Diceros bicornis minor: one gene and its partners. The protein of the gene in region 3 interacts with the protein of the main gene of each other region in a pairwise test. Links are inferred from orthologs where the notes say so. Each region holds a gene or a part of one and is shown on either strand. Other genes may lie near its edges. The genes, in order: WWP1, LENG8 and ATN1.

The links.
Region 1: the proteins of ATN1 (region 3) and WWP1 interact in a two-hybrid assay, tested with the Homo sapiens proteins (2 studies listed by BioGRID and IntAct). The link is inferred for Diceros bicornis minor from reciprocal best matches to the Homo sapiens genes ATN1 and WWP1.
Region 2: the proteins of ATN1 (region 3) and LENG8 interact in a two-hybrid assay, tested with the Homo sapiens proteins (2 studies listed by BioGRID and IntAct). The link is inferred for Diceros bicornis minor from reciprocal best matches to the Homo sapiens genes ATN1 and LENG8.

What each region holds. Positions count from the first base shown.
Region 1 is NC_080772.1:36,149,969-36,159,936, reverse strand, and holds the start of WWP1 (NEDD4-like E3 ubiquitin-protein ligase WWP1), read right to left. Parts: upstream 4,113-9,968; 5' UTR 3,991-4,112; intron 1,219-3,990; exon of another isoform or gene 326-1,218; intron 1-325. UniProt on the Homo sapiens protein: E3 ubiquitin-protein ligase which accepts ubiquitin from an E2 ubiquitin-conjugating enzyme in the form of a thioester and then directly transfers the ubiquitin to targeted substrates.
Region 2 is NC_080773.1:32,060,017-32,069,641, forward strand, and holds the start of LENG8 (leukocyte receptor cluster member 8), read right to left. Parts: upstream 3,720-9,625; 5' UTR 3,617-3,719; intron 2,045-3,616; 5' UTR 1,990-2,044; coding exon 1,952-1,989; intron 991-1,951; coding exon 816-990; intron 442-815; coding exon 340-441; intron 1-339. Other genes in the region: TTYH1 (protein tweety homolog 1), read right to left, coding at 8,293-8,326, 8,449-8,529, 8,990-9,132.
Region 3 is NC_080756.1:54,837,851-54,847,537, forward strand, and holds the start of ATN1 (atrophin-1), read right to left. Parts: upstream 3,716-9,687; 5' UTR 2,993-3,715; intron 1-2,992. Other genes in the region: ENO2 (gamma-enolase), read right to left, coding at 8,156-8,225, 8,537-8,595, 8,742-8,850, 9,124-9,325. UniProt on the Homo sapiens protein: Transcriptional corepressor. Recruits NR2E1 to repress transcription. Promotes vascular smooth cell (VSMC) migration and orientation. Corepressor of MTG8 transcriptional repression.

The DNA of each region.
Region 1 (9,968 bases), on a different chromosome or scaffold from region 3:
AACTTTTTAATGGTAAATCTTTTTTTTTTAAATGATAAAGCTTTTTATGTAATGGTAAAATCATGAAATATCATGATATATATTTTGGAAATCAGATCCCGATTTATATGCTCCAAAAACACAAATTTTCATAAACTACACGTCTATAAAAGGAGAACAAACTTCATCTGTAAAAGCAGCTGAACTAAAATCAACAAATTTTCAAAAGGAAATTAATACCTACATTTCACCAATGTACTTTTTCAGACCAAAAAAATCAACTTTTGCTTTTTCCTTGACAGGAAAATAACCATTTGTGATAAATACAAATTTCAAAATTACCTACCAACAGCCACTGCAATGAGGTTACCATTTTAACACAAAGGAGGAAACAGACAAGTTCAGATCTACACAGTACAGAAGTTTAACAGATTCCAAACAGGTAAACTCCATCTCCTCACAACAGCCTTCAGTTAAATTTCCATTGTAGATGAAGAGTCAGTGGGAAAAGAACACTGACCTAGGAACAAAAATATGGGTTTAGCTCTAGTTCTAATTTTAGCCACTTACTAGCCATATACCCTGGAAATTTAACTTTTTATAACTTCTTTGAGCCTCAGTGTTTTCATCTAAAAAGCAATGATTATCTCCCGACACACTAGTGCTCAGCTGTCATGAGAATCAAATGATAAAGTCTATACAACCATTATGAAAAAATGTAAAATGCTATACTAATATATGATACTCTTCTTAATGCCAGGAGAGAATAAAAAAATCGTCTATGTATGTGCTTTCATTAGACATTTTTCCTCCATTACGTATTAGTAACTAGGTCCTTCAACACCACTATAAAGGCCAATTTATTTGTTTTTCCACTGCTTGTTACAATTACATCATATTTTTATAGGGTAAAAAAGACCCCAGTCTTTCTAATCATTATGGAATCAGTTTCTAGAGCTATAAAAGATACCACGTAATAACCTGTTCTGGTTCCCTACCAGGAAGATCATCTTATAGGTGCAGAAAGGTCAATTGTTTACTAATCAAATTATGCTTTAACCATACTAGGGAGAGTCAGCTACTTAATCCAATGAAAAAATTCACTGATACGACCCTGTACTTCATTTATTTTATAAAGTTTCAGTTTTTACTTGATACAGGCTTCCTGAATGAAGGACAGGGTATTCTTAAGTAAGGCATACCTGAACAGAAAAAAGTTCTTAAAGCTTCTTATTTCATTCACTTCACATCCCTCCTCCCCTGCCCCAACCCAAACTGAGATACAAAGAAAATAAGTAAGTAAATGACTGGTCTGATATTGCCATCTGCTCTCCATACACCCAATCCATTCCTCAGCCTCACCAGCAACCCTGCACATGGAAAACAAGAAGGGTACAGATAGTTCAAGGAAAATCTAAGACCAATAGCAAAATGTCAAAAACTGGAAGAAACCTCCCAGGATCATCTAGACCTTACTGATGAGGTCACTTAAAGGCAGTAACTATATCCAGTCGATGGTAAATCAGCTGCATTTATCTTCCTACAAAGAAAACCATCATTGTCAATCAACTTTTGACTCCAATTCACCCACTTGCTAACTGAAATACTTCGGGCAAATTATTTAACCTCTTGGGCTAGTCTGTTCTGTAATATAACAGCAAATAATATAAGTTAGTCCACATCCTCTGTAAACTGTAAACCACAACACAAGTGTAAGGAGATACTGTCTCTAGGTGTATTTACAGTCTGTCTCTACAGTAGGGGTTCTTATCAACTAAGTGGAAGAATCTGAAGGCTCTACTGCCTTAAAAAGCCCCCAGTAATTCTGTGAGCAGCTCCCAGACTAATCCACTGGCCCATGGGTTACATGGATGAGCTTCAGGTGGTCCATGGACTCCCCTAAAATTATATCCACAAAGCACAGGTGCACATGGAAATTTCCCAGGCCAGCAGATTTTAGTTTCAAGGATTAGTAATCCCCAAAAGGCTGAGAACCACTGCTATAAAGTAACACACATATGCCCAAGATAAAGCTTCCATGGATGTCGTTCAAAATGGTACCACTATTCTCCCAATCAACCTGGATGGGAATCTTAGCTATCTTTTACTTTCTTCATTTCCTCTCTCATCAAATTCTGTCTCTTCTACTTCCTTCCTCCTTCCCACTCCTATTATTAGTGCTGCAGTTCAGACCCTCACTACCTACAACCACAGCAATCAAGGCCTTCCTACCCCAGGGTCTCTCTACTTCAATTCACTCCACACGCTGATGCCAGATTAATCCTCTGAAAGCTAGGCTTTAATCATTTCATTCTCAACTCAAAAATCATCTGTAAGACACCCCCCCCCATCCAAGGTCATTAGCCAGGCATATACAACAATCATAAACCGGTCCAGATTTTTACTTCAAGCTTTACCCTTTCTACCAGCACACACACCGTGTGTCCCATCCAAACATAATGCCCTGCTCCTCCCCAAGTGTTTGACCTCGGTGCTCTCAGTCCCTTCTCTCTGCTTGGATTACCTTTCCCAGCCTATCCCGAGTCAGTCATCCTTCAAAACAAAGATTTCAGAAGCCAGCTCTATGAACTAACCCCACCTTGCCAAATCAGATGTGGGCTCTACCCGCTCTGAATGTGAATTCTCTACGCAACTTAACTATATGTTAAAAGACAAACGAGGCCTTTGTGTACAGTCCTACGTGCCTACCTCGTCTGTGAAAGCAGAAACTGGTATCATCTTCATCTTTATATTCCCCCAAACACCTCACACAGTCATGCAGCAGAGGCTAAGAACTGTGCAAGGAGGCAAAAGAAATTCCAGCCTTCGCGGGGTAAACAGCAAAGACGACTATTTCCTTGAAGGCAAAGACCTTCTCAGCGACATTCTCTATCATGCGAGGCTTACAAAAAACATAACCCTTAGTTACTGCTTTTCAAAGCCCTGGTGTGGTAGGTCTTAGAGACCTTTTTGCATTTTAAGGGAAGAACCATGTGAACATGTGAATAAGCTACAGCCCGAAGAACTCTTCCCCACACTCGACACTTCTTGATTTGAGCAGCTCCCAACACTTGGCCGCTAAGTTTTCAACTGAAAGAATAGTAACTTCTTACGAAAAGTGACCATTTCCAGTCACAGATAACGTGCCACTTGATGGCTAACAGCAAGTCACATAAATAAAAGAACGCCTTTCTTTCTTAAAAGGCGCGTTCTGCTCGCCCCACACACGGCGATTGAGCGAGGCAGGTGAGGCCGACTTAAACATGTGCTCCTGTAGAAATCTGCAGACCACTGTCCACTAGGAATTTCGGGCAAGAACAGCACAGGGAGGGAAAGGAGAACTTCGGGTGTAATTCCTGCCCACTCCTATTACCAATGGCACTTGGAAGCAGACGCTCAAATCTTTCTCGCACGTTAGCCTACACAGAAAGATAAAAACTTATCAAACAAACAAGAAAGCGACATCGAGGCCCTGGAAAACATCTCTCCCAGGAAGACTGCAAACGTCAAGGTAACAGACACCCCCCTCCCCGGCACGGAAGGGGTCGCAGCATCACGGGGGCCCACGGAGCCCACCCGAACCACGGTGGGGAGACAGCCCGCGCCCAGGCTGCTCGTGCGCAGGCTGCAGCGGCAGCGGGCACAGCGCAGGACGAGAATTTCAAAAACAGAGATGAAACGAGAAGGTGCAAGTCACCGACGAGCTGAGGACTAGTCAAAACTGCAAGGTCACCGCACCTCCCAGGTCACCGGGGGGGGGGCGGGGGCCGGGGGCCGGAGCGCACCGCGCGGGAAGCCCGTCCGACGGAGCCGTGCGGGGGGCCCCGCCGGCGTCGGAGCGGAGCCGCGGGCGGAGGGCCGGGCGACTCCCGGCACGCCCCTCGCCGGCCAGCGCTCGGGCCCGGCCCCGCGCGCCCGCTCTCCCGGCGCCGCAGGGCGGCCCGCGCCCCCCGAGGGTCCCGCCCCGCCTCAGCCGCCTCAGCCGCCCGCCGCCCGCCGCGGCGTCCTCACCGGCGCGACGCCGTCGGCCGGTGGCCCTCCTCCGGCGGCGGCGCCTCAGCCCTCCGCGCCCACGGGCGCCATCTCGCAGCAGCGCGGCCCCGGCCGCCAGGCCGCCTCCGCCGCTCGGAGCCCGCACGCCGCGCGCCGCCGCCGCCCGCGTCGACCCCACAGCCCCGCGGGAGCGCGCCGACGCCCGCCCCACCCCCGCGGGAGCGCGCCTCTCGCCCGCCCCGCCCCGCGCGCGGCGCCGCGGCCGCCCAAGCCTCCCGCTCCGGACCGGAATCCGGCTTCCCGCGAGCATGCGCAGTGAGGCGGCGCGACGACGCGTCTGGGAAACTCCGCTCCTCCGGGTCTTCGGAGCGGCCGAGGGGCCAGCCAATGGGAGAGGGGGGCGGGGCCTGAGCCTGGAAGGGGCGGGGCCGCGGCCCAGACTGGGAGGAGTCTTCCCCGAGCCGGGGGCGGCGGCGGGGCAGGCTGCTGCAGACCTGAGTCTCGGGTTCGAGGCCGGACCTGTGCGTGACCTCAAGTGAGGTCGTGGGGCGCTGGCGTTCAGTTCTTGAACGCTTTACAGCAAAAGGAGACTGTTAATATAGCCCCCTTGACCTAACCGAGTGTTTGACTTAGAACCCATTGGGAGAGGAAATAATAGCGTTTAGGGATGGTCATAAGCAGAGTGCCAGTCCATTTTTATTGGTACTCAAAACGTTCACTCCTCCCGCCCCCATGAGTACAGTGATAAAACTAATACTGAGCAGGTACCCGTGTCAGGGCGATTAATCCGTACAGCAGTGCCATATGGAAGGGTCTGTTCTCCCCATTTATACAAACCAATCAACTAGTCTAGAGAGGGGCTGTTGGTTCTGTGTGTGGCTTTTAGAAGAAAGGCCACCCTGCAAGTAGAAGTCACTGGTGACCGCATTGCTCACCAGATGACCTGTGCTTCTACTTCTTCTACTTCAGAGAGAGAATGAAGACCATCAAGCAGGGATTTCTGCAATTTTTGCCCAACTCTCTCACCCAAACCCCACAAATTACCTACATCCACACGCAAGCCTACTAGTTGTGCTCTGTCTCAGAGGCTGAGTGTCCCTGCTCCTCTCCAAGCAAACCTCTCCCTCCTGGGACCCCCTCCTTGACGTATCTCTAACCTCATCCTTTCTGTTGGGTACAACTCCTCAGTATAATCACATTTTAAGACTTTTCTGTCTTAAATTTTCCCTTGACTTTACAACCTCCTTCTAGTTCTCTGTCTTCTTCCATCATAACCAAGCTTTTGAAAGAATTGTGTACCACGGACAGCATTGACACTCCATGAATATTTGTAGGGTTCAATAAATATCTTTGGACTGAATGAATGCACATTCTCTTTCTCTCCATTACATCAGGTCCTACCCTCTGACTTGATACCTGGATTTGATGCACCCTATATCCACAATGATTATTCCAAAACATACATCTGAGCACGACACTCCACTGCTTAAAATCTTTCATTGGCTCATCAGAGCTTTTAAGACAAAAATAAACATGATCCTCAAGGCTTCTTTCATGCTTGCGTGCTCTGTCTCTCCTGTTATGACAAACTCTTCCGAGTCCCCTGATTGTGCTCACTGGTTTCTGCTTTAACCTTTTCCTCACCTTTTTGTTGGTCCAGTTCCTTTAAAAATAAATTCAAGAACAGACTTACAAGTGCACTCTCAGACATTGCGTACAAACACCCAGCAGAGGTCTGCATTCCCTCTGCAGAGTGCACACAGGCCCCCTTCCACTTCCTGCTCTACTGTGTCTCACTTCAAGCTCTCCTGAGTCCTTAGCTTCCTCCCTCAGTTCTCCTCCATGCAGAAGCTCCTAGTGCTCACCTAGGCCCCAAAGTTGACAGCCAATATTGAACCAGCCTTTTATTATTAAGTATTTCTTTGGTTTCAGATGAACACTATTATGAATAAATATCTTTTCACAAATCATTTTCCGTGTCCTTACTTACTGCCTTAATTTAAATCCTTAAAAATAATCAAAGGCATGAACAATTTTGGCCCTCTAGAAACATGTTGGCAAGCTGCCTCCCAGGAAGAACATAGGCTTAGATGTCATATCACCTGGGATTAAACCACAGCTCTGCCACCCAGGGCCACGTTGAGATTTTCATGGACCCTAGATGCTTTTACCTTTGTGGCCTCTTCCACCATAAAATAATATTAAAAATTATATTTATAACTGCATTGATATAAGGACAATATATTGATACTATACATTAAAACATTTTCTTCAGGGCCGGCCCGATGGCGTAGTGGTTAAGTTCACGCATTCTCCTTCCGCGGCCCGGGGTTCGCTGGTTCAGATCCTGGGTGCGGACCTACTCACTGCTCATCAAGCCATGCTGAGGTGGTGTCCCTCATAGAAGAGCTACAACTGTACAACTATGCTACACAACTATGTACTGGGGCTTTGGGGAGAAAAAAGAAAAAAAAAAAAGGGAAGATTGGCAATAGATGTTAGCACAGGGCCAATCTTCCTAAAAAAAAAGTTTTCTTCTACCTGAACATCCATTTTTTTCCATCTGATTTTAAAAGAAATTAAAACATTTATGGGCCTCTAAAATTATGGTGAGCCTGAGGCACTGTGCCTATCAGGACAATTGGCTAAGGCAACCCTGCTGCCACCTACAAGCTATGAGATTTGGCCAAATTCCTTAATCTGACTGTGCCTCAACCAGGAAATTGGTATAATGCTACCATATAATGTTGTAGTTAAAAGTAAATGAGTTGCTACAAATAAAATACTTAGAACTACATGGCACATAATCAATAAATTACTGTTGTTACAATTTTTGTTCTCAATTTTCCCATAACACTATACGAGAGTATATGATTGTCCTTCTTCACTGTGCCAAAATCATCATGGTGTATTTTTATATGGGCAAATATGATATCTTATTGTTGGTTCATTGTCCATTTTCTTGCTGAGGGAGTCACAATAAGGCACTTTATATAATGTAGATATTGATTCTAGATAAAACTATTGGTCTTTTCCATTTTTATTTTCTTCTATTATTTTTTGCTTCACAAGTCCTTTTCCATCCTGAGATCATATCATTTATCTGCCTTTATTTTTTTCTACATATTTGACAATTTCACTTTTTCCATAAAATAATTTAATCCTTTTGGATTTATTTTGGTGTGATGATCTACCTTTTTTCTCTAAATAGCTCACAGTCTTCCCCAGTTTATTTGCTAAAGAATCCTTCTCCAACTCTTATGGTTTTAAAATATGTATGCCCACAAATTCATCTATACTCCTCCCTCCAAAAAGTGGAGCCTAATTCCCCTCCAAATGAATGTGGGTTGTTCTTAGTGACTTCCTTCTAATGGACACAATATAGCAGACGTGACAGTGTCTCACGTCCAAGAGTAGGTCTTAGAAAGGTATTGTGACTCCTCCCTACTCTCTTGTAGATCACTTGCTCTGTGGAATGCAGTTACCATGTCATGAAGACATATCAAGTAGCCTTTTCAGAGGCCCACATGGCAGGGAACTGAATATCCTGCCAACAACCAGTAAGGGTCTGAGGCCTCCTGTCAATCTCCATGTGATGGAGCCATCTAGGAAGCAGATCCCCCATCCTCCAGCCCCACTCCTGCCTTTGGATGTTGTAGACGTCTTGACTGCAACCACGTCAGAGACCTTGAACCAGAACCCCAGCTAAGTCACTCCCAAATACCTGACCCACAGTAATTGTGAGGTGATAAGTGTTCATTGTTTTAAGCTACTAAATTTTGGGGATAATTTGTTACGTGGCACTCGATACCAAATGTACTAACCCAGTGGTTCTCAAATGAGGATGATTTTGTATCCCAAGGGACATTTGGCAATGTTGTGAAACATTTTTGATTGTCACAACTGGCAGGGACGAGTGGGGAGAGGTTTCCATTGGCTTCTTGTGGAGAGAGGCCAGAGAGTGCTAACCATCCTTTGGTGCACAGGACAGCACACACACACACACACACACACACACACACGTGCAGCAACGAAGAATTATCAGATCCAAAGTGGCAATAGTGCTGCAGGTGAGAAACCTTCCACTAACCTGTTTTCCCTGCACCTTAGAATTTCCCTCTTGCACATGTAAGTGTGAAAAAGCTGGGTTTGCTTCACATGCTTTGCTCATCTGGGTGCTGCTTTACCTTGTTTTACCCCAGTCCTAGGCAACCACCAATCTGCCTTCTGTCAGTAGAGAACAGTTTTACTTTTTCAAGGATTTGGTATAAATGGAATCATCCAGTAAGTACTTTTTTGTGTCTGGCTTCTTTAGCTCAGCATATTTCAGAGATTCATTCATATTGTTGTATGAAGCAGTAGTTCCTTCTTTTTTATTGTAGAGTACTATACTATTGTATGGATTTGCCAAAATTTTTTAATTTTTGTCTTATTGATGGATATTTGGTTTGTTTTCAGTTTTTGGCTATTATGACGCAATATTTTATGAACGTGTGGTGGAAAGTCTTTGTGTTGACATATATTTTCATTTTTATTGGGTAAGTAATGCCTAGAAGTGGAATTGCTGGGTCACATGGTAAGAATATATTTAACTTTATAAGAAATTCCCAAACTGCTTTGCAAAGTGGTTGTACCATTTACATTTCCACCAACAGTATATGGGAGTTCCAGTTGTTCTATTTTCTCTCCAACACTTGGTAATGCCAGTCCTTTCTGATTTTAGCCATTCTAGTGGGTGTGTAGTGGTAAGTCAGTGTGTTTTAATTTGTATTTCCCTGATAGCTAATGATGTTGAGCATCTTTTCATGTGCTTATGAACCATTTGTATATTTTCTTTTGTGAAGTGTCTGTTCAAATCTTTTGTCCATTTCAAATTGTTTTTGTCTATTCTGTATATATTCTATACACCAATCCTTTGTCAGATACATGTGTTGTGAATCTATTTTCCTAGATTGTGGCTTGCTGGTGTGGTCAACCTCCAAGATGGACTGCGTTGATCCTGGCTTCCTGGTGTCTGTACTCTTGTACAGTCTCCTCCCCTATAGAGCTGACCTGTGTCAGATTTTCCAGGAGGAAATTGTGGAGGTGATGATATGCGACTTCTGAGGCTGGGTCATAGAAGACATTGCAGCTTCCATCTTGCCCTTTGGGTTGCCTGCTCTAGAGAAAGTCTGTCCTTGGCAGACCCATGCAGAGAGAAACTAAGGCCTGTTGATAAACAGCCAGCAGCAACTTGCCGGTGTAGGGGAGGAAGACATATCCTCTACCCACTCTGGGTCCTTCTGTCTGGGCTATGAATTAAAATGACATGAGACAGAATAACAGGAGAAAATCAAACAAAGCTTTATAACATGTATACATGGGAGAGACCCAGGAAAAACTGGGTAACTCACCAAAATGGTGAAGGCTATCATCTTAAATAGCATCTTCAGTAAAATACGAAGGAGGGTGTTGGGGGTAGTGGTTTGGGACTTGTAAGGGGAGGAAAGAAATTCACATGGAAATGTAAAAGCAAATGTTCGGTGAACAGAATTTTGATAAGAACGGGCTTGGCAAGGACCCTCCCAGTCTATTGATACCCAGAGTTATCTATGGTGATGGCCTGTCCTGGGGACAGGGCTTCTATCTTGAATTTCTTTTGGGCAGTTAGTGAGGGGGTGGTCAAAGTTTCTTTCGGAGTCTTTTGTTCTTGAAAATAATCAAGGTGAAGAGATATATTTTGAAGTGGCCAATTCTGATCCCCCAGAGCGGCCATAGGTGGCACTTTGTAAGTGGATCCTCTAGCCTCTGTCAAGCCTTTGGATGACTGCATTCTCACGTGACACTCCCAGCCGGAACTGGCCAGCCAAGCATTTCACATATTCCTGATCCACAAAAATTGTGAGAGATAATGAGTGTTTATTTTTATTTTCTACTATTTTTATTCTCCACTAAGTTTTGGAGAAATTTTTTACATGGCAACAGATAAACTTGTGTTGCATTTTCTGAATAATGTC
Region 2 (9,625 bases), on a different chromosome or scaffold from region 3:
TGGGCAGCCCTCCAGGAGGCGGGGACACAGGGCGCCGTGGGAACAGGGGAAGAGAGCTGCAGCAGAGCAGAGCAGAGTGTGAGTGGACCTGGTGTGTGCAGAGATGGAGGAGGTCTCTGTGGCAACTGTCAGCGAGCATGCGGGGAAAGGTGGCCAGAACCAGGTAACGTGGGACTTGGCGGGCCACAGGCAGGACCGGGGATTTATCTCGTGGGCAATAAGCTAGTGGAGGGCTTTTCAGCGGTTGTCACTGCTGACTTCAACCCACTAACTACTCTGGACCCATCCTGACTGAGCCCAGCTCCTCACCCACCCATCCCTGCCGGGCTGGGCACCTACCATGGGGTAGTAGTAGCTGTAAGGGTAGGCGTAGTTGTACTGCTGGTACCACTGGTAGTACTGCTGCTGCTGCAGGGCCGAGGCTTCTGCCTGTGACACGTACTGTGGGAAGAGAGGCCCACACGCCATCAGCGTTGGCAGCAGGAACCCACGGGCCCCACAGCCCCCACAAGGGCAGGCTGACTTTCTGGTGGTCAACTGCCGGAGTGGAACTGGGTCCACATCTCTCCACAGAGAGCCACTGCCTCTACCTCGGACTCGGGGCACTGAAGGCACGCCTCGCTCTTCAGGTTAGGTTCCCAGGGGCAAGGACCACATGGTACCTCCGACTCTTCAAGGAAACAGACCTGCTTCCCCTACCCGAAAGCTCCTACAATCTCTTCAGAGCACTGTGTCCAGTGATACAAAGACACCACATGTGTGCCTCCCCCAGCAGCCCCCCGTGCAGCGTGCCCAGGCCCGTGCGGCCCTCTCACTTGTGCGCTGGTCACCGGCCCATTGCTGCTGGCCTTGGCAGAGCTGCCAGCAGCTCCTGCTTTGCTGATGCTGGCCAGGGCCTGGCGGGCCTTCTCCCACTCTGGGTTCTCGTGCATGGGCGTCTCCATGCCGTTCTCTCTGCCCGCCCCCGCCACCATGCTGTACTGGGAGGACCTGCAGAGAGAGGACGTCGAGTCAGTCTCCTCTCCCCACTGCACACAGTGGGCAAGACGGAGGCAGGGAAATACCAGAGCTCAAATCCCGGATCTCCCTCTCTCCATCTATAAGAGCCTAGATTTCCTAATCTATGGTAATGCTGACAATTAGTTTCTGCTTCAGTTTTCTGAGGGATAAATGAGACTACCTACCTAAGGTACTTTTCCAGGTGCCTGATACATAGCTGTTAAAAATCAAACAGGGGGCCAGCCCCGTGGCGTAGCGGTTAAGTGCGCGCGCTCTGCTGCTGGCTGCCCGGGTTTGGATCCCGGGTGCGCACCGAGAGGCACCACTTGTCAAGCCATGCTGTGGCGGCATCCCATATAAAGTGGAGGAAGATGGGCATGGATGTTAGCCCAGGGCCAGTCTTCCTCAGCAAAAAGAGGAAGATTGGCATGGATATTAGCTCAGGGCTGATCTTCCTCAATCAGTCAATAAAAATCAAACAAATGAAAAAATTACCAGTGTCCACAGAAGTAAACATGGAACCTGGCGCCTAAGAGGTGTAAATGTTTTATGAATCAAAGAATTCCGTTTGACGCTACCCCAGCCAGCAGGTAATTATCACAATGCGGTGGAAAAAACAAGCAATTAACAAAAAGATAAATGCTTGAGTATTAAGTGTTGGAGACCGCCTCCAATCATAGTTCATGAATGAATCATCACAATCTTGTGAAACAAGCACTGCACTGTGAAATATGAAAGTTCAGAGAGGTGAAGACCCAACCCTCTTCACACTATGACCACATGCTTCCTTTTATGCTTGAGGCCAGAGGAGGGCGTCATCCCCACCGCTGCCCACAGGGACTGCTGCATCACTTCCCCCACGCTGTTGTGGGAGGGCCATCCCAGAGGACAACACTGGCTCTCACGTCCTCTCGCCCTCCCCTCCAGCTTCTGTCCCACTAGCCCCACTAACCAATCTGTGCTCCGTTGATCACCCACGTTGGCCGCCATCTGGACCTTGGGGTGTAAGGGGTGGACCTCGGGAGCCAGACTGCTTTTTCACTGTCTACGAGAAAAAGAAAAGAGTTAGGGAGACTCAAGAAGGAGCAAGAGACATGTCACAAAAACAGGAAGAGAAGTGGATGGACTCAGAGGAGCTAGGCAGAAAGGGGGAGTCTGAGAAAGAAGGAGCCACTGGGGTAAAAAATCTGAAGAGAATTCTGGGTGTCAATTAAAAGGGCTACAGTAAGAGGGCAAGACCTTGGCCTCCCTGCAGTGCTCTAGGTGGGAAATGAAGGATCTGAAAACAGGGATGTCTGAAGGAATTTCCCAAAGGGAAGGAGAAGGATCTGAAACACATAGGAGGAAGGGGAAGGTGGTTCAAGGGAAACTCTGAGACAGATAAGAGGGAGGTCCAGAGGGTAGGCTGGGGGGACCTCAGTCAAGGGGTAAGGAGTCCAAGAGGAATTCCAGAGAGGAAGCAGAAGAAAGAGGACGCCCTGATGAGCAAAGCCTGAGTGAACTCCTAAGGCTGGCGGACGCTGAAAGGTTTCTGAGGGGAACTCTGTAAAGAGGGAAGGGTTTGAGGGAGCCTTGAGAGAAGAGAATACCAGAGAACAGAAAAAGAAATCAAAGGAAAAGGGGATTTCTATAAGTTACTCCTGGAAACAGGGAGAAGTTGAGGGTGCCCAAGGGGAACCCCGCAGTGAAGAAATGGGTTCTTGAAAAGCTTTTAAGAGACTAATTACAGGAAGGTCCCCTAAGGGCACAGAAGAACCCTACATGGCAGGTTCCTAAAAGGAGGGGTAGGCCCAGGAAGGAGAAGAGGCAGCCCCGCGATTGGGGGTCTGGAAAGTAAGCTTCAGGGATGCCTGAAGAGATCCAGAACATCTTTAGGAGGTTGAGACGGGGGTGGAGAGGACTGCAAGAAAGTGAAGGGGTGTCTTGGAGGCAAAGACTGAGGGGCCTGAACTTGGGGGGATAACTGAGAAGTATGGGTGGGCTCCAAGGCGAGTCTCACTGGAGAACCTGAAAATCGTAGAAGTGAGGGAGCAGGAACAGAAGTCTGGAGCTGGGAACAGCCCTAGAAAAGAAAGGCCTTAAAGAGTAAACAAGAGGACGGGGGAGGGTAGGAAATAGGGGAGGAAGGCCTGCAGTGAGCGTCCTGGCGAGTCTGAAGGGTGGAGGCAGGAACCGGACGCGAGGCCGGGGAGGCGAGGGGCACTTGGCCGCCCCGCAGGCCCGGAGAACGCAGAGCAGGGGCACCGGCTGCAGGAAGAGCCCACCTCGGCCCCCGCGACTGGCTCCGGAGCCACCGCCCCGGGGAAAAAGCCGGCGCAGGAGCCGCCCGTCGCCCGGGACAACGCCGCCCCGCGGCTGGAATCGCGCGGTCAATGGGTGTTGAGGGCGGGGGCGCGCGGGCCCCGGAATTCCGAGGGCGGGGTCGGCAGCCGGGCCCACGGCGCAGGCGCGCGGGTGCGCAGGCGCAGTGGCCGCTCCGGCCCGCCACACCCTGTCGCCGCTCGCGCGCGGCGTCCGCTGCTGCGACAGCCGCCGAGGCCTCCGGGCCCGCGCGGAGTAATGCCGAAAGGAGACGCCGACCACGCCCGCCCGCCGGCCCGCAGCTCCCCACACCCACCTCGGCCGATCGCCCCGGGAATCGTCAGCAGCGGCCCAAAGCGAGAGCAACACGGCCGCGAGAGTGCTCCCGACCCGGCTGGCTCTTGTCTTCCTAGGGCTCCGAAGTCCCGACCGCGGCGTGATGACGTCACACGGAGGCCTCGCCCCGCCTCCCTCCCGCCGCACAGCCAATGGCCGCCGCAACCTTGATCTGAGCCCGTTCCCCCCCCCCCCCGCCTACGCAATGACGCGGTGGGCACTTTAAAGGCAAGCCGGAAACGGGGCGGGGGGATGGTGGCCCCGAGGGGACAGGCGCCGCAGGCTTGTAGGACCCTGCGCCCTTCCGCGCAGCCGTGTGGGGCCTCGGTTCGCGGTAGCCTTGCTTATCTCTAGGTGTAGACTAGGGTGATGAGAGTTGTAAAACTACCCACCGTACAGTGCTGCGGAAGGCCCGGGGAAGACAATGAACTCAGAGAAAGGGGGTGAGAACAGTCTCCCCTTGGAAAGGGGAGCTTCCCTACTAGATAAAACGGGGAAGGCGCACCCGGCGGAGGGAACGGCCTGGTGAAACACTCAGAGGCGGGAAACAAGGGTAGGTCGGGGAGAATGCTCGGAGCAGGTATAGGATGGAAGTGTGTGGCCTCCTGGCGTGAAGAGCTAGGCCAGTAGCAGATCCTGAAAGTCTAAGGAGTTTGGCCTTCCTTTAAACTCCTTGCAAGTCACCTTTTGAGCATGCCATCTGTTTCCATGCAGGACTCGGGCTGATAAAATTATCCAGTCCAGTTCAGGGAGCGGTCACTGGAGTCGCAGTAGGTGATAGAACAGTATTTCAGAGGCCAGTTCCTTCCCACTTTCTGTTACTATAGACTTTTCTCTTGGTGTATGTATCATTTTGTTACTGTTAGCATATGATGAATAACCAAAAAGCAGTAAGATACATTGGAGTATGTGAGGAAGCCGTTTGGTTTAAAACTAATCCAGCCTGACCTTGTTTTTCCAGAAAGGGTTGACCTGGCCTGTCGACTATGCGTTGTCCATCTGTTTTGAACATTTACAATGACCCAAAGCGGAGAATGATGCCCTTGAAGATAGGGATATTGCCTCCCCTCATATCAGTATTTCTTTCAAGATAAGCATTTCTTCCTAGAAATTAAGGGTTAATTACTATCCTGCTTTAGCTCATCTCATTACCGTCGACCTGCTGTGCTAGCAAGTATCCTGTGACTGTAGTAAAAGATATTCCTGGCATAACTGATGTATATTCCTTGTTCCAAAAGAGTCTATAACCACTCTGTATACCCCGCTGCTTCAGAGAGCTTTCTTCCTTGGTGAAGGTACTCTCCCCGGCTATGTGATCCTCAGGACTGGCTCATCATAAACTCACCCCCATTTGATTTATAGATTGATTACCGATTATTTGCATCGACACATAGTTGACCTTTTTCCATTCTTTTACTTTTTATTATTAAACTTTTTGTTTTAGAATAATTTTAAACTTACAAAAAAGCTGCAGAGATAGTTCAAGGTCCCACGTACCCTACACCCAGTTTCCCCTAATGCTGTCATCTCACTTTACTGTGGTATGTTTGTTAGAAGGAAGAAACCAACATTGGCACGTGACTATTAACTAAACTGCAGGCTTTATCTGAATTTCACCACTTTTTCCACTGACGTCTCCTTTATGTGCCAGAGTCCAGTCCAGGGTACCCCACTGCATTTAGCATCCATGTACATTTCAGGGTTATATTTAAGGGGGTTTTCATGTAGACGGCATATAGCTGGATCTTTCTTTTTACTCAAATGTACAATCTCTGCGTTTTAAAAGAGGTGCTTATAACTGTACTTTTGGTGTGACTATTGGTTTGGTTCCCTTTAAACTCATCATCTTGCCATCGAGTTTCTATTTGTTCCATCTTTCTTTATTCCCCTTTTCCTCTTTTTCTGCCTTCTTTTGCTTTGAGCATTTTTTTAAAAATAGACTTTATTTTTTAGAGCAGTTTTAGGTGGGGCCTTTGGGAGGTGCTCTGCCTCGGGGCCCCTCCCCTGCACTGTGGTGGGAAACTCTCTTCTGACAGACTGGTGATTTCAGGGATCACCTTGATATTTCCCATCTCTCAGGGACCACTCTCCCTCCTTGCCTGATGTCCCGAGTCTTGAGCACCGTTCTTTCACGAATTTTGCCTGGCTTTTTGGTTGTCTCAGGAAGGAGAGCAGATCCAGTCCCTTTTAGTCTATCTTGGTCAGAAGTGGGAGTCCTCATAGGTATCATTTAAAAATAAATGATAGATTTTAAATTTATAGATTTACTTTGGTAAAGATTGGGCAAATGTCCTTTTTTCTTGGGTAAAGCTTCCTGATTAAAGATCACTGGAAGGCCAGCTGGCAGGAAATCACGCGGCCTGAACCTCAAGGGTACTTTGCGAAATCCAACACATCGCGCTGGACTCAGAGTCACTAGGGGGCAGTGTTTGAGAGCAAAACAGCCAGACTAGCAGCAGGGCTGGCCCCAGGGTCAGCTCACCGGGTCTTGAGAAGCAAGTGAGTCAACACAGGTGGCCCCCAGAGCCCTTCACAGGAAATTATAGTCCATTTCTCTTTCCTAGCTTCAGGGCCACACACTGAAAGCTCTCTTGAACACTCCTTGCAGTGCACAGGATGGAAATGATTAGCAAGCACAGAGCGGTTCCCCCATGGCAGGCCCTATGCTGGATACCCGCATCTGACACTCAGCCAACCAGCCCTCACCCGAAACCCTCAGGGCCATATATGTGTCTTGGGGCTCCAGGATTTTTCAAAGTTTTGAGAGACAACATGGTTTATGTTCCATGTGGCACACCACATCCACAGCACCCTTCACAGCACTTGGAAGTAACCCCATCAGTTTCTGCAGGGAAACAGATGAACATTCACACCAGGCAGGGAGATAGTCTGGAAGTCACCTCATGCCAGGTCGGGTCAGGTCCTGCTGCCCAGGGAGTTAAGGGAGGACGTTTGGTCTAACACAGCTCTTTGGATTTCAGAACTGCAGAGGAGGGACGGGGGAGCTGTCTTTCATGACCCATCTGATGGCTGAGGCAGCTGAGGTCCAACAGGTCAGGTGACTGCCCACGGCCAACTGGTGGTAAAGAGCAGGCAGGGCTTAACCACGGCCTCCTCTGTGTTTGTCTGCTCTGCTGCTATTGTCACACCCACCTCAAATCCCTCCTCTCTCAGGCTTTCCCTGAAATCCCAGGCCCAGCCAGGAGCTGTCGTGTTCTGGAGAGCCCTGCTGTAGGGTGACTTATCAGACATGTCGTCTTTCTGTGGACTTTAGTTTCCAGAGTTTAGCTGATGGTTGCAGCAAACAGTCCTTGACATATGTCCTCAGATGCCTCTGCTTTCTTTCCATAAATTGATTCCCAAAAGTAGGACTGCCGGCTCAAGGGTCTATACAGTTTGATTTTATCACACAGGAGCAGATTATTTCTTTCGTGTTGCAGTTCACAGCCTCGGGAGCAGGGCGTTTGGGTGCCTGGTTCCTCCACATCCTTGCCAGCATGGAATGTTAGTGCTCCTTTAATTTCGTGATAACTAGGTGGTGGAAAAAAAAGTTTGTGGTTGTTTCAAATTGCACTTCCTAATTATTATGGTTTGAATGGTTTTTCGTTTTCACTGGTGATGGGATTTTCACTTCATTGAATGTCTATCTTAGTTGCTTATTTTTAAGTTGGGTTGTATTTTTCTTAGTTTGTGGAAGCTTTGTAGATTATATTTATATATTAAGAATTATATATTTCTTTGCCATATATGTTAAAAAAACCCACAATTTTCCCCAGACTATCAATTTGCCTCTTGACAGCATTTTTTTCGTTCCACAATTTGTCAAATGTTACCTTTTCCTTTTCGGCTTTAGGATATCTTGCTTAAAATCCTCCCCCTCCAAGCAAGATATACAATATACAGAATTCTCCTACTTTCTCTTGAAATGCTTCCATCCCTTTACTTGTATACACTTAGATTTTTCACCCATCTCGTATGTATTTCCAGACAGAGAGCCAGTTAAGTCAGCAGTGCTTCGAAACCAAACGGTCCTTCTCACCCTGACCTGCAGTCTGTCTTCTGTCATCTATACAAACACTGAGATCTATTACCAGGCTATCTATTCTGTTCCAGGGATGTCCACCTCGTCCTGTGTCAGGACACATGTACTGCTTTTAAAACCAGAGAAAAAAAGTTATTTTTTTTTTTAAAAAGAACAATCCCTTTGGAACCGCCGCAAAGCCTGGACAGGAGCAGAAACACCGGCAGCCAGGAGGCTGAGGGGAAGGGATCTCCCCGGACCTAACTAGGAGGCCAGAACCAGGAGGGGACAAATAAGAAGGACCCAGATCCTTGTAAAATAAAGTCTTCCCTTTTATTTCAAACCAACCCATTCCCAAGTTAGTGCCACAAGTTGAGATCAAGGGCCCTAAGCCCACTGGGGCACCGCAGGGGCGGGGGCACTCGTGTCCCTTCAAGGATGGGCCTGGCGGCCAGGGGTGAGGGGGTGTGAGGCTGGCTGGCTGCCCCTCCCTGGCCAGTCCGGGGCCCTGGCTGCCCCCTCAGCTTACTCCCAAGGGTTAGGACACAAAGAGGGGGGCAGGACAGGGGAGCAGTCCTATTTGGGGTGTCCGTGGCCAGCGGCGTTGTTAGTGGTGGGAGCCCAGTTGGGCTGGGTTAGTGGGGTCTTCTCCAGCAGCCAGGGAAGGAACTGCAGAGAGAGGCAGAGACAGGGCACCAGATGCAGGTGGGAGGGCCACCACCGTGCCCAGAGTGAGGGAGAGGAGGGCAGAGGCCGGCTTTGGGAGCTGGGGTGTCGCTCTGGCAGCTCACCGGAGGTGGGGGGTAGGCTGCAGTCTGGCATGGAGGAGGGGCTCAGATAGACGACTGCCACTGCACAAAGCGCTTGGATTCCTGCTGGGGAGATTTGGGTGAGAGGGGACATGACCAACGAATCTGGCTTTGTAATGTGGGCCCTCAGCCCGCCTCCCTCAGACCAGAAATCCAGGCTCCTAGCCCCTCTTCCCTCAGACCCAGGGGTCCAGGCCCCCGGCCCCTCCTCCCTCAGACCCAGGGGTCCAGGCCCCCCGGCCCCTCCTCCCTCAGACCCGGGAGTCCAGGCCCCCGGCCCCTCCTCCCTCAGACCCGGGAGTCCAGGCCCCTGGCCCCTCCTCCCTCAGACCCAGGAGTCCAGTACCTGAGGGTTGAAAGGGTCGTCATCGTCTGTGTCATCGTAGTCGTCACTGGGGTGTGATGGGGGGAGTGGCAGAGAAACAGGATGGGGGATCCATCAGGAGGCTGCCCCCCCAACAGTGGCCTGAGAGTCCTCCTCCTGCCCCCTCCTCCAGGACCCTGCCCTCTCTCCCCTCCTGACCTGGGTGGGAAGAGGGCCCAGGCGCGGGGCAGGCTGCAGAGGGCGGTGCCGAGGGCCCCGGCAGACAGGAGAGAGAAGAGCAGCAGGAAGAGCAGGCCCTCCAGGGCGTCTTCACACAAGCCCCGCAGGGCTGCACCATAATCCTGGGGTGGGGGGAGAGAGCATCAGGGGGCAGTGCCCCTCCCCACTCCACATACACACACACACACACACACACACTGTGTGCATGACTCAGACTCTCCACCTGGCTGTGCAATGCTGCACAAGTCACTCAGCGTCTCTGCCTCAGTTTCCTCCCCTGTCGTAAGTGTTCATCACAGGGCTTGGTACACAGGAAGCACTCCGTGCACGGTAAGTGCTGAGGTCACTGTGATTATCACACCTGCAGGTATGAACCCAAATCTCGGCCTCTTCTCATCACTGAGAACCCCCCTACCAGCCCCCTGCCACGGCACCAGGTCAGCCTTGGCTAGCACAGGGCTCAGCCTGGACACCCGAACGTCGTAAGCCAGCTCATTCTCCACTGTGGGGCCGTCCTGGGCACTGTAGGATGCTAGGCAGCATCGCTGGGCTCCACCCGCCAGATGCCAGGAGCACCCCCACTGGAGTTGTGACAACCAAACATGTCTCCACACA
Region 3 (9,687 bases):
GGAGGATTGGCATGGATGTGAGCTCAGAGCTGATCATCCTCACAAAAAAATAAAAATTAATAAATAAATAAAATAGTGTCAACCCAAAAAAAATCCAAAGAACAAGACCCAACATAACAAAAGGGGAAAACAACCTCAACAAAAGCATAACAAAGATGACTATTTGTGACTGGGTGCCTTTGCCAGCCATTCTAGAGGAGGGTGCCCTTCTCTCCCTCCATCACAGAACCTGTTCACCAAGTCAGTTAGGGCTTGGGGATCCAAAAGGGCAGAGCAATCCCAATGTGCCCCTCCCCCACCTCAATTTTTTTAATCTGTTGAATTTTGATGAAATTAGCAATGAGTAGCTTTGAAGGAGAAAAGCAGTCATAAAAGGGTAGGTAGGGGCCAGCCCCGTGGCATAGCAGTTAAGTGCGTGCGCTCTGCTGCTGGCGGCCGGGGTTCGGATCCCAGGCGCACACCAATGCACCACTTGTCAGGCCACGCTGTGGTGGCGTTCCATATAAAGTGGAGGAAGATGGGCACGGATGTTAGCCCAGGGCCAGTCTTCCTCAGCAAAAAGAGGAGGATTGGCGTGGATCTTAGCTCAGGGCTGGTCTTCCTCACAAAAATAAATAAATAAATAAAAATAAAAAGGGTAGGTAATCCTGGAAATAAGGAGTGGCAGGGGGAGAGGAGTTAGGATTGGGCTGCATATATGTTTCTGAACCTGGGGCACGTTTTAGCACCAACAAGTTGAGCGACACATCTTGCCCTAAGGAGCCAGTCACTATGACTAACATTTATAGAGCACCTACTATGTATCTGGCAACACACAAAGCACATTCACCTTCATAGCCTTACTGCAAAAGGAAATGATAAAGACCAGACTGGGAAGGTGGAAAAGTGAGAAATAGAGAAAGAATCTCTAAGAAGGAACAGGAAAAGAAATTAAGGGAGAAATATGAGAAGGATGTCAGAAAGAATACAACTGAGGCACAAGGCTTTCTGGGAAGGGCTTGCAGGGTGCATTTCAGGATCATTGGCCCAGCCCCCATCATCATTCCGGACCCGCCAGACTCACAAACCAGTCCAAAGTGACTCCTAGATAACAATGCAGCCCAGACCAGCAGATAACAATGGACTGTCCTAAGCCTTAGAATCCAGGTTGTCAGAGGGTTGTCAGAGAAGAAATCATCTTCTCTATAACCCTTTCATCTTACAATGAAGCTGAGGCTCAAACAAAGAGAAGTGACTCGCCCAAGATCACAGTTAGAGGTACAGCCAGGACTAGACACAGGTCTCCCAGCTCCTGTTCCCGAGTATTTCCAGTGCACCAGGCTGTTCCACAGCCCTCTCCCCTGGGCCACCCTCACCTGGGATGGGTGTGGAGAGCCCAGCCATTCCTACAAGGTCAGGGAAATAGAAGGTGGAAGGTTAGCTGAGGAAAAGGGTCACTGTGGCAATAGTCTGGGAAAGAGAAAAAGGGAGACTCAAGTTTAAGCAAATGGAAGACTATCAGTGCAAGGAAGCAAAGAGACCACTGTATACAAAAAATCTCAAATAATAAGGGAGGTAGAGAGCCCAGAAAGAACTACCAAAAGATCCTATAACTTCAACAGGAGCATTTCCATTCTCCCACCATGCCTAGGGGGAGGGACCTGGAGAAATACCTATGACCTGCAAATAACCTGTCTCCCTGTTCCAACAGACTGCTGGATGGAAAGCGGTGGACTCCCTGGGGAATCTCCTATCCACCAGCAGCACCAGAAACATCTCCAGAACCCAGCCAAGAGTCCCAGGAACATACCTCAAGGCTGAGGTCCACTCAATATTCTGAACCCCCACCTATTGGATATCCCACAGGATCATTGCCACGGCAACAAAATGGCAGAACCTGCCCCTCAAGAGTCCATCCCAGGGGTCCATCTGCTAGCCACTCCCCCTCCAGTTGCCAAAGCAACTCCTATCCTCCTATAGCACCCTCAGAGAAGGGAGCTTAAGAGTACCTACCCCAGTAGGAATAAGCCCACGCACAAAGGGAAATCTTTGAGTTCAAAACAGTAATGAAGACCCCCGCCCCATGGAAACCATGGCTAGAGGGACAGTGGGCACTCTGAGGATTTGAGGGTAGAGATCACAACTTGTTTGGCGTGCCTATAAAATTGCCCAATCCCCCCCCCCCCGCCCCAGCCTGTTTCCACCCTCCCAGAAACCCCTTCTCCCTAACTCTCCTTCTTCCTCCTCAATAGTTTTAGGAGGACTCACACTACTGGGCCCCAGTGTGCCCCTCTCCAAGAAGTAACTATGCCTGGAATTGGAAAAACAAGGCCAGAGGTGACCTGGAGTAGGGGAAAGAAAATTGAGTCACAAAAGCATCACCCTCCCACTTCCACCCAGGAATACCTCCAGTTCTTCTTCTCAAAGGTGGCCCTCTCCTTGGCCCTTTCCCGGCCTCCTTCTCCTCAGGTTCCATCCTCCTCCCTCATCAGCTACAATCCCCTCTCTTTCCACCTACCACACCCCTTCCCCATCTCCCACTTCCCTTCTATACCTAAGCACCCGGTATAGAACCCGGGTTCTGGGCCTTTGGGGTTTTCCTGGACCCCTCATGCCCCACCTCGCTGCCATCTCTCCATCCTTGTTGCCTTCGCCCCGAAGCCCCCTCACGGGCAGCCCCCGTTTCTCCTCCGCCAACCCTCCACCTCGGCGTTCCTCTTTTGGTGCCAGGGTCCCGGCTACCCACTAGCCCCATCAGCCCTCCTCCTGAGACCCTCCCACGTTCCCCCACCTTCCAGATCCTCCCGGTGCCCTGGTCCCCATCCCTTTTCGGGGGCCGGCCCCACCCCCTGAGCCCCCACCCTCAGGCCAGGCAGTGCCCACAGTGGGGGGACCGGATCGGGAAAATAACAAATGGAGGCGGCGGCGGGAGAGGGAACCGGGAGGGGTGGGGGTGGGGAGCCACGGGCCAGAACCCGGGCGGGCCCGAGGCCCGGGGGGCAGCAGATCTTACCTGGTTGTGGCTCGGGACGGCTGGCTGGCTCCGAGCGGGATTCGGGGCTCCGGCGCCTCCGGGCAGCGGCGGCGGCCGCTCCCCCGCACCCCTCTCCTCTTCCTGCGTTCAGTCGCCGCCGCTACGGCGGCGGCGGCGGCGGCCCGGACCCTCCCAGAAGGCTGCCCCCATCCCCCTTTTTCACTCCACCTGGCCCCGATCGCCCGCCGGCCCGCCGGAGCAAATCCCGACCGCCGCTCTCGCTCGGCCCCTCCCCAGGCGCGCCGCCTCCCCCGGCCGCCCGGAATGCCGGGGCCGCGCCGCCGCCCCCGCCGCGCCGCTCGCCCCCGCGGCCCGGCCGGCCCTCTGCGCGGCTCTGCCCCGCCGCCGCCCGCGCCCGCCCGCCGCAGCCGGCGCTCGCGCGGCCCCGGCCCCCGCCCTGCGCGGGCGGTCGTCCCTGCGCCCCCTCCTAGCCCCTCCCCAAGGCCAGCGGTCCCCCCTGAACGGGTCCCGGCCCGAGGCCCCGGCCCGACGCGGGGCTGCGGGCTGGCAGGGCGGCGCGTCCGGCGACTCGCACAGGAAAGCGGACGGCGGAGGGAGGGAGCCTGGGAGAGGGGGATGGGAGAAGGGAGGAAGACGGAGAAGGAGGGAGCGCGGAGGAACGAGGAGAGAGGGGCCAGGAGGGAGACGCGAGGGAGGGAGCGCGAGGCGAGCGGCGAGGGGGGAGAGTGGGGGATCGGAGAGGGGGCGGCGCTGCGCGAGTTGGCCGAGACCGAGGCCGAGGGGCCGGGGCGCGGGGAAGGGTTCGCCGAGGCGGAATGTGGGGAGCCCGCGGGCCTGGCGCCGAGAGGGCTAGGTAGGAGGGGCTGTGGGTTGTAAGGGCAGATCGGGGAAGGCTGGAGAAGTTGGGGGGCAAAGAGTCTGTGGCAGAGGTGAGGTGGGAGGTTGTATGTATGTGGCAGAGATTGGAGTAATGGGGTTAGATTGGAAAGATGGAGCTACATGGGGGCTTTGGGGGCAATGAAGTCTGTGACAGGAGGCGAAAGAAGCATGGGGTGACAGCGTCTCTGGCAGACATATAGCCGGGGAGGTTTGGGGGGCAATTATGAGAGAATGGGATGGAAGTTTGGTGTCATAAGGTGGGGAAGAAACTGAAAAGATGGAGACATATAGGAGGATGGGGTTTCTGGAAGAGTAAAGAGGTTGGGGGTGATTAGTGTTAGGAAAAGAATAGGGAATATAAGAATTTGGGGATGATGAAAGAAAACTGAGGAGAGAGAAATCCAGAGATGTCAGTGTAGAGAAAGAAGGGAAAACATGAGGAACCTTAAGAAGGGATGAAGGAGGTGGGGCCAGATGCATGTTCTAGGGGGAGGCTGGGGTTCTGAGTGGGAAAGGAGGGTGGAAGGCACAGAGATGGCTGGAGGAAGGGGGTGGGGGGTTTCCAAAAGAGCTGAGGAGAGTTTTGGTAGGCAAGACAAGGTAGATTGAATGGGGTGGGGGCGGAGTGAGGGGGGTAAAGAAGATTAGAAGGAAGTGTAAGATAAACAAGGCCTTTGGTGGCAATATGGAGGAGGGAAGGTCAGTGATGGAAGACCCGAGTGAAGATGGGAAAGGAAAACAGCAGAAGGAAATGATAGAAATGGGGAGGGTAAGCCCCAGGGTAGGTAAGGGATTAATTTATAGGAGTGTAACACCGTCTTCAGGCCCTTCTGTCTGGTGGTGTCTCCATTTTCCTTTTCAAATTTGTTTGAAGTCATCACTGATGGGGTACCTTGGGCCACAGGGAAGGGGCCAGGTGGGGATTAGGCTCAGTGTGGAACCAAATCTCTGGGTGTCCTGGTTCCCCAAGCCCAATGATTCTAATATGGAGACAATCCCCACCTAGTCCGCAGGCCGTTCCTCCTCCCCCCACTGCTCTCCAGGCAGCCTCTGACTCTGTCAGTCTGCCAGCCATTCCCAGTCTTCAGCCATGAAGCCAGCACCCCCACCAGTCCACCACCAGTGTCTTCTTCTGGGCTCCCTCCCTGGCCCCACACCAAGCTGCAACATCTCCAGGACAAAGGACACCAAGACACTGGGTGATTTTTGGCAGCTGAGATTGGGAAGGCCAGAGAATGGGAGGGAGGCAGGCAGGCTGGGAAACAGGAAGAGCTGGAGCTGGAGTCTGGATTGGAGCCCTCAATAGCTCTCCAGATTTGGGGTGGGGTTAGGGGATGTGTGGGGCTAGGCCAGCTAGAGGTCAGGGGTGGGCCCTGAATGGCAGGATCCCACCAGCCTTCTGGGAAAGAAGGAGGTTGGCTCTGTAGCAACTCAGATTTTGCCTCGTATTTCCTTGAGCCAGGCTCAGCCAAGTTCTAGGAATACCCTAAAGCTCTAAATGGATTCTAAAGCACTGGGGAACCTGAGCGAGAAGGCTTCCTTGGCCTAGGAAAGAATCAGCACTCTTTAGTGTCTTGAATTGATTGGCACTCACTTTACCACCCCATGCCCACCTTCCTTATCCCTCAGGGCCTTCTAGAAACCAGGCCAGCTCCCTATTCCCGCCCCCTCCCTCCCCTACCCTGTGCTGCTCCCCTCTCTTCCTCAGTGCCCTAGGATAGCCCTGCTCCTTCTCCCCACCCCTAACTTTGTTCCTTGACTCCTCCCCTCCCTGGTGCATTTCCTCCCCTGCACTTCTCAGTTCAGTCTCCCTCTGGGCCCTGGCCCAGACCCTTCTGAGGTCCCTTCCAGGCTGAGCTCTTATCCCTCATTTCTTAACCACTAAGAGATGCGCTAGAATGGTGACATATCTGAGCCTAAAAGAAAAATTTAGGCATACGTAGGAATGGGATGGGGAGAGTTAGAAGAGAAGCCAGGGTCTACCCCCTCCAATTCCTCCTCTGCCTGAGGGCCAGGCTCACAATTCAGCATCAGAGAACATCACACACACACACCCCACCATCTCTCACCCCAGCTCCCTTTCGGGCCCCAGCCCCCCACAACCCACTGGTCTCCAGGCAACGGCACAAAGGGAAAGTGGAGAGAGGGGCCTGGGAGGCCCAGGCCAAGCTGGGCTAGCTGAAACCCAATCCAACCCAGTGCCTGAGGAGGGACATGGCTGCCAGAGAAGGCAACCTAGCAAGGAGGGAAGAGAGGGCAGAGGTTAGGAAATGTGGCTCTAGCCAGAATAGTCCTGCTCAGTCTAGGAGTTACTGAAAAAAGACGGATATAATGGACCCCAGAGAAAACTGAGAGGCACAGAGAAAAGTACAGTGTGCCCTAAGGGAAACAGAAGGGGAAGCCAGGAGACATGGAAGAGAAGGGAAAGATGAGATGCCCACACTGAAATTAAGAGGCCAGAGAAGAGGGGGCAAGAAGCTCTTTGAACTGAAAATGGCTGAGGTTGTCAGCGACACAGAAAGAAGAGCAGAGAAATGGGTCCTGCCCGTACAGAACTGGAATCCTCTCCTAGTCCTGGCTGGGCAGAATGGCAGAGGGAGCCCAGGACCAGAACTGAGAGTAAAAACAGTGGAGGCCCACAGAGGGAACATCCTTGAAATGCCTCCCCCACCCCTCCCCTAGCTTGGGGAGCAGTATGGTGTCCTGCAGAACCCTGACTCCCTCTAGTGGTCACAGCTCCCCCACTGCAGCCTCTATGGCTGGGCTCTGCCCTGGTGTCGAAGCACTGTGAGGGGGTTTCTGGGGGGGGGGGGCGGTGTTCCTGGGTTCCCATCTCAATGCTGGGGTTCCACTGGAGCTGAAGAGTTGTAGTGGGTCTCCAGCCACACATGGCACGACCCAGCCAAGGGGGCCTGTTGGGCACTAGTTTACTGGAAGACTCAGTTCATCAGGCCCTCCTCTGTACACCCCACCCACCCCCACCCCCACACCTTCTTCCCTCCCCAGTTCCACATCTTGCACCGGATGATGCCCATGCAGTGCTGTTCCATCCCAGAAGCGGCCAGGATTGTTTGGGAGGGGCTGATATGGGAGCTGCTCGAGTCCACAGCTTTATCCCTTCTTTGGTCAATGCCCTTTGGGAATTTGAAAATACTTTGGACCCCTTTCCCCAAAAAATGCACATATACACAGAATGTTTGATACTTTTAAGAATTCTTGGACTCCAGATTAAGAATCTCTAATTCACCTGGGTCCTGGGACGAGGCTTGCTGCCGAGCAGGCAAGGCAACGTGGTCCCCATCTGGCCGGGGTAGGCAGTGCCATCATCCTGGCCATATTTGCTCGGTTTCTTCCTCTTATTCTGCCCTCCCCAGCTCTGCTATCCAGTTTCACCAGCTTCCCGGTGTTCCATCTTTCCTCCCTTCATATGGACTAGAGTAAGACTCCTCAGACACAATGATGCACTGTGATTCAGACTTTAATGGTGGTGCTCATTTCAGTGCCACAGAGGTGGTGGCATCTGTGGAACATGGCATGGGGGAGTGAGACATTGTTCTGGTGCAGCTGGAGGAAGAAGAGGGAAGCTAAGGCTGGGGAGAGAGTTATCGGGGAAGAGCCCCCAGGCACACAGCCCCACCTCTGGACTGAGCCAGGCTTCAGTTAAGGGTTGGCACACACAACGGAACTGACGTCAAGGCCCTTTTCTGTTACCTTTTCCAGTCCAGCAAGACCTCCCACCCCAGGCCATCTCAGAATCTACAGCCACATGAAATACAGACACATAGTCCCCTCTAGTCAGGCCAGTTTTTGGCCCTGGAGTTATGGGGAAATGATTAATTAATTAACAGGATGAATAAAAAATAAATAAATGAATAAATAATACACTAAAGTCTTAGGCCAGGCATGACCATGCAGCCGGCACTCCTCTCCACCTCAGCACTCTGCAGTTCCTGGTTCATATGCAACATGAAACCAGCACAAAGCAAAGGTGACATGTGGCCCCTCTCTAAACACCTCAGCAACCAACGCTGATGCTCCTGTCACAGACGCTGATCATTCTTCCATGGACCCCCTTATAATCCTCAGTCTCACGGCCAGTTTTTGAGGAGAGAGAATAGAAAGGAAGGAGAAGTGGAGAGTGTGGAACCCAGATAGGGGAGAGCAGAGACAGCAGGGGCCAGACAAGCCAAGGAGCAGCGCAGCAGGTCAGCCGGGGTGTCTGGGGTGAAATACCACAGAGCAGGACAGGAAGCAATTCCAGGAGGACGGAGCAGGGTTCCAGGCTCCGGGTAAGCAGTGGGATCACAGCACGCTGGGGTTGCGGAAATTATGTCCGGCAAAGCGAGCTTCATCCCCCAGCTCTTCTTCAATTCTGAGAGAGATGAGCCAGAAAGGAAACGTCAGGGAAGCAGGAGGATCCAGGTCTCTTTCCAGGAGGCTCCCAGCCCCCAAGGCCCTCACTCCACCTGCTCCTGTGTCCTAGCGCAAGCGTGAGCATTCCCTGGCTTTCCCATGTAACCTGTGGGATCCATCAGTCATGCTATTAGTAAACTCATCTTTCAAAAACAAATATTTTCTGGATATCTACTGTTCTCCAGGCCCTGGACACTGGAGATGGAACAGTGGGCAAACAGACCTGTTAACCATCTGGGCCCTGGGCTCCCATTCCCCAGGTTCCCTCACCTCATGAGCTGGTTGTACTTAGCCAGACGCTCAGAACGGCACGGGGCGCCAGTCTTGATCTGAAACATCCCAAAAGATAAGCAGCTCAGTGGCTGCCCCTTCATTCCTTGAAAGGACACTTATACTCCCTTAAAATTCCCCTGACACCCTCAAACACCTAGAAGGAGAGACCCACCAATTCCACAAAGATCTCCCTTGCACTTACTTGGCCTGTGCACAGCCCCACCACCAGGTCAGCGATGAATGTGTCCTCAGTCTCTCCTGAGCGATGACTCACCATGACTCCCCAGCCATTCTCCTGGGCCAGCTTGCACCTGTATCCATACACCAGCACTGACCCCCCAGCTCCTCACACTGGGCACTCTCTTCCCAGCCCCAAGATTGGGTCTATGTCAAGAAACATCTGGAGGAAAGCTGTCTGGGAGTGGAGCAGAGAATTGGGTGGAGGAAGCAGAACTAAGAGAGCTATGAAGGGGACTCCAGGCTCCCTGCTCTCTTCACATCTGTGGGCAGGATTAGGCTGGGAGCACTTCCAGGAGGGGTTCTGTAGAAACGGGCTGAGTAGGAGAGGGCCAGGAGGCACTCACGCTTGGATGGCTTCTGTGACCGAACCAATCTGGTTGACCTTGAGCAGCAGACAGTTGCAGGCCTTTTCCTCCACTGCCCGCTCGATACGCTTTGGGTTGGTCACTGTCAGGTCATCACCCACGATCTGGATCCCTACATTGGCTGTGAACTTCGACCAGGCAGCCCAATCATCCTGGTCAAACGGGTCCTCGATGGAGACCACTGCAGGGAGAGCAGTAAGGGGGCTGTTGATCCTCCCAGGGTCTGTGCAACAGGCAGGAACACCCCCCTTTGATTCCCTGAAATGGACAGATCCCCTGGCTAACTGAGCCTGCTCATTCTTGCTTCTCCCTGCCCCCCAAAAATAAGCCTGCCATAACTGATTCTTATCTTGATTCTTTCATAAAACTTTTTTTCAAAAAAAAAGTGTTCAGAACCTTTCTCACAACCTATCTTTGCATTTCCCTATTTTCACTACCAGGAAGCTCTTCCTCATTACTAATCAAAATTCTTCATTCTGCAATTTATGTCTACTTTTTCTTGCTCTTCTGTCTCAGGAAGATGAAAACCAACTGCCTACATCC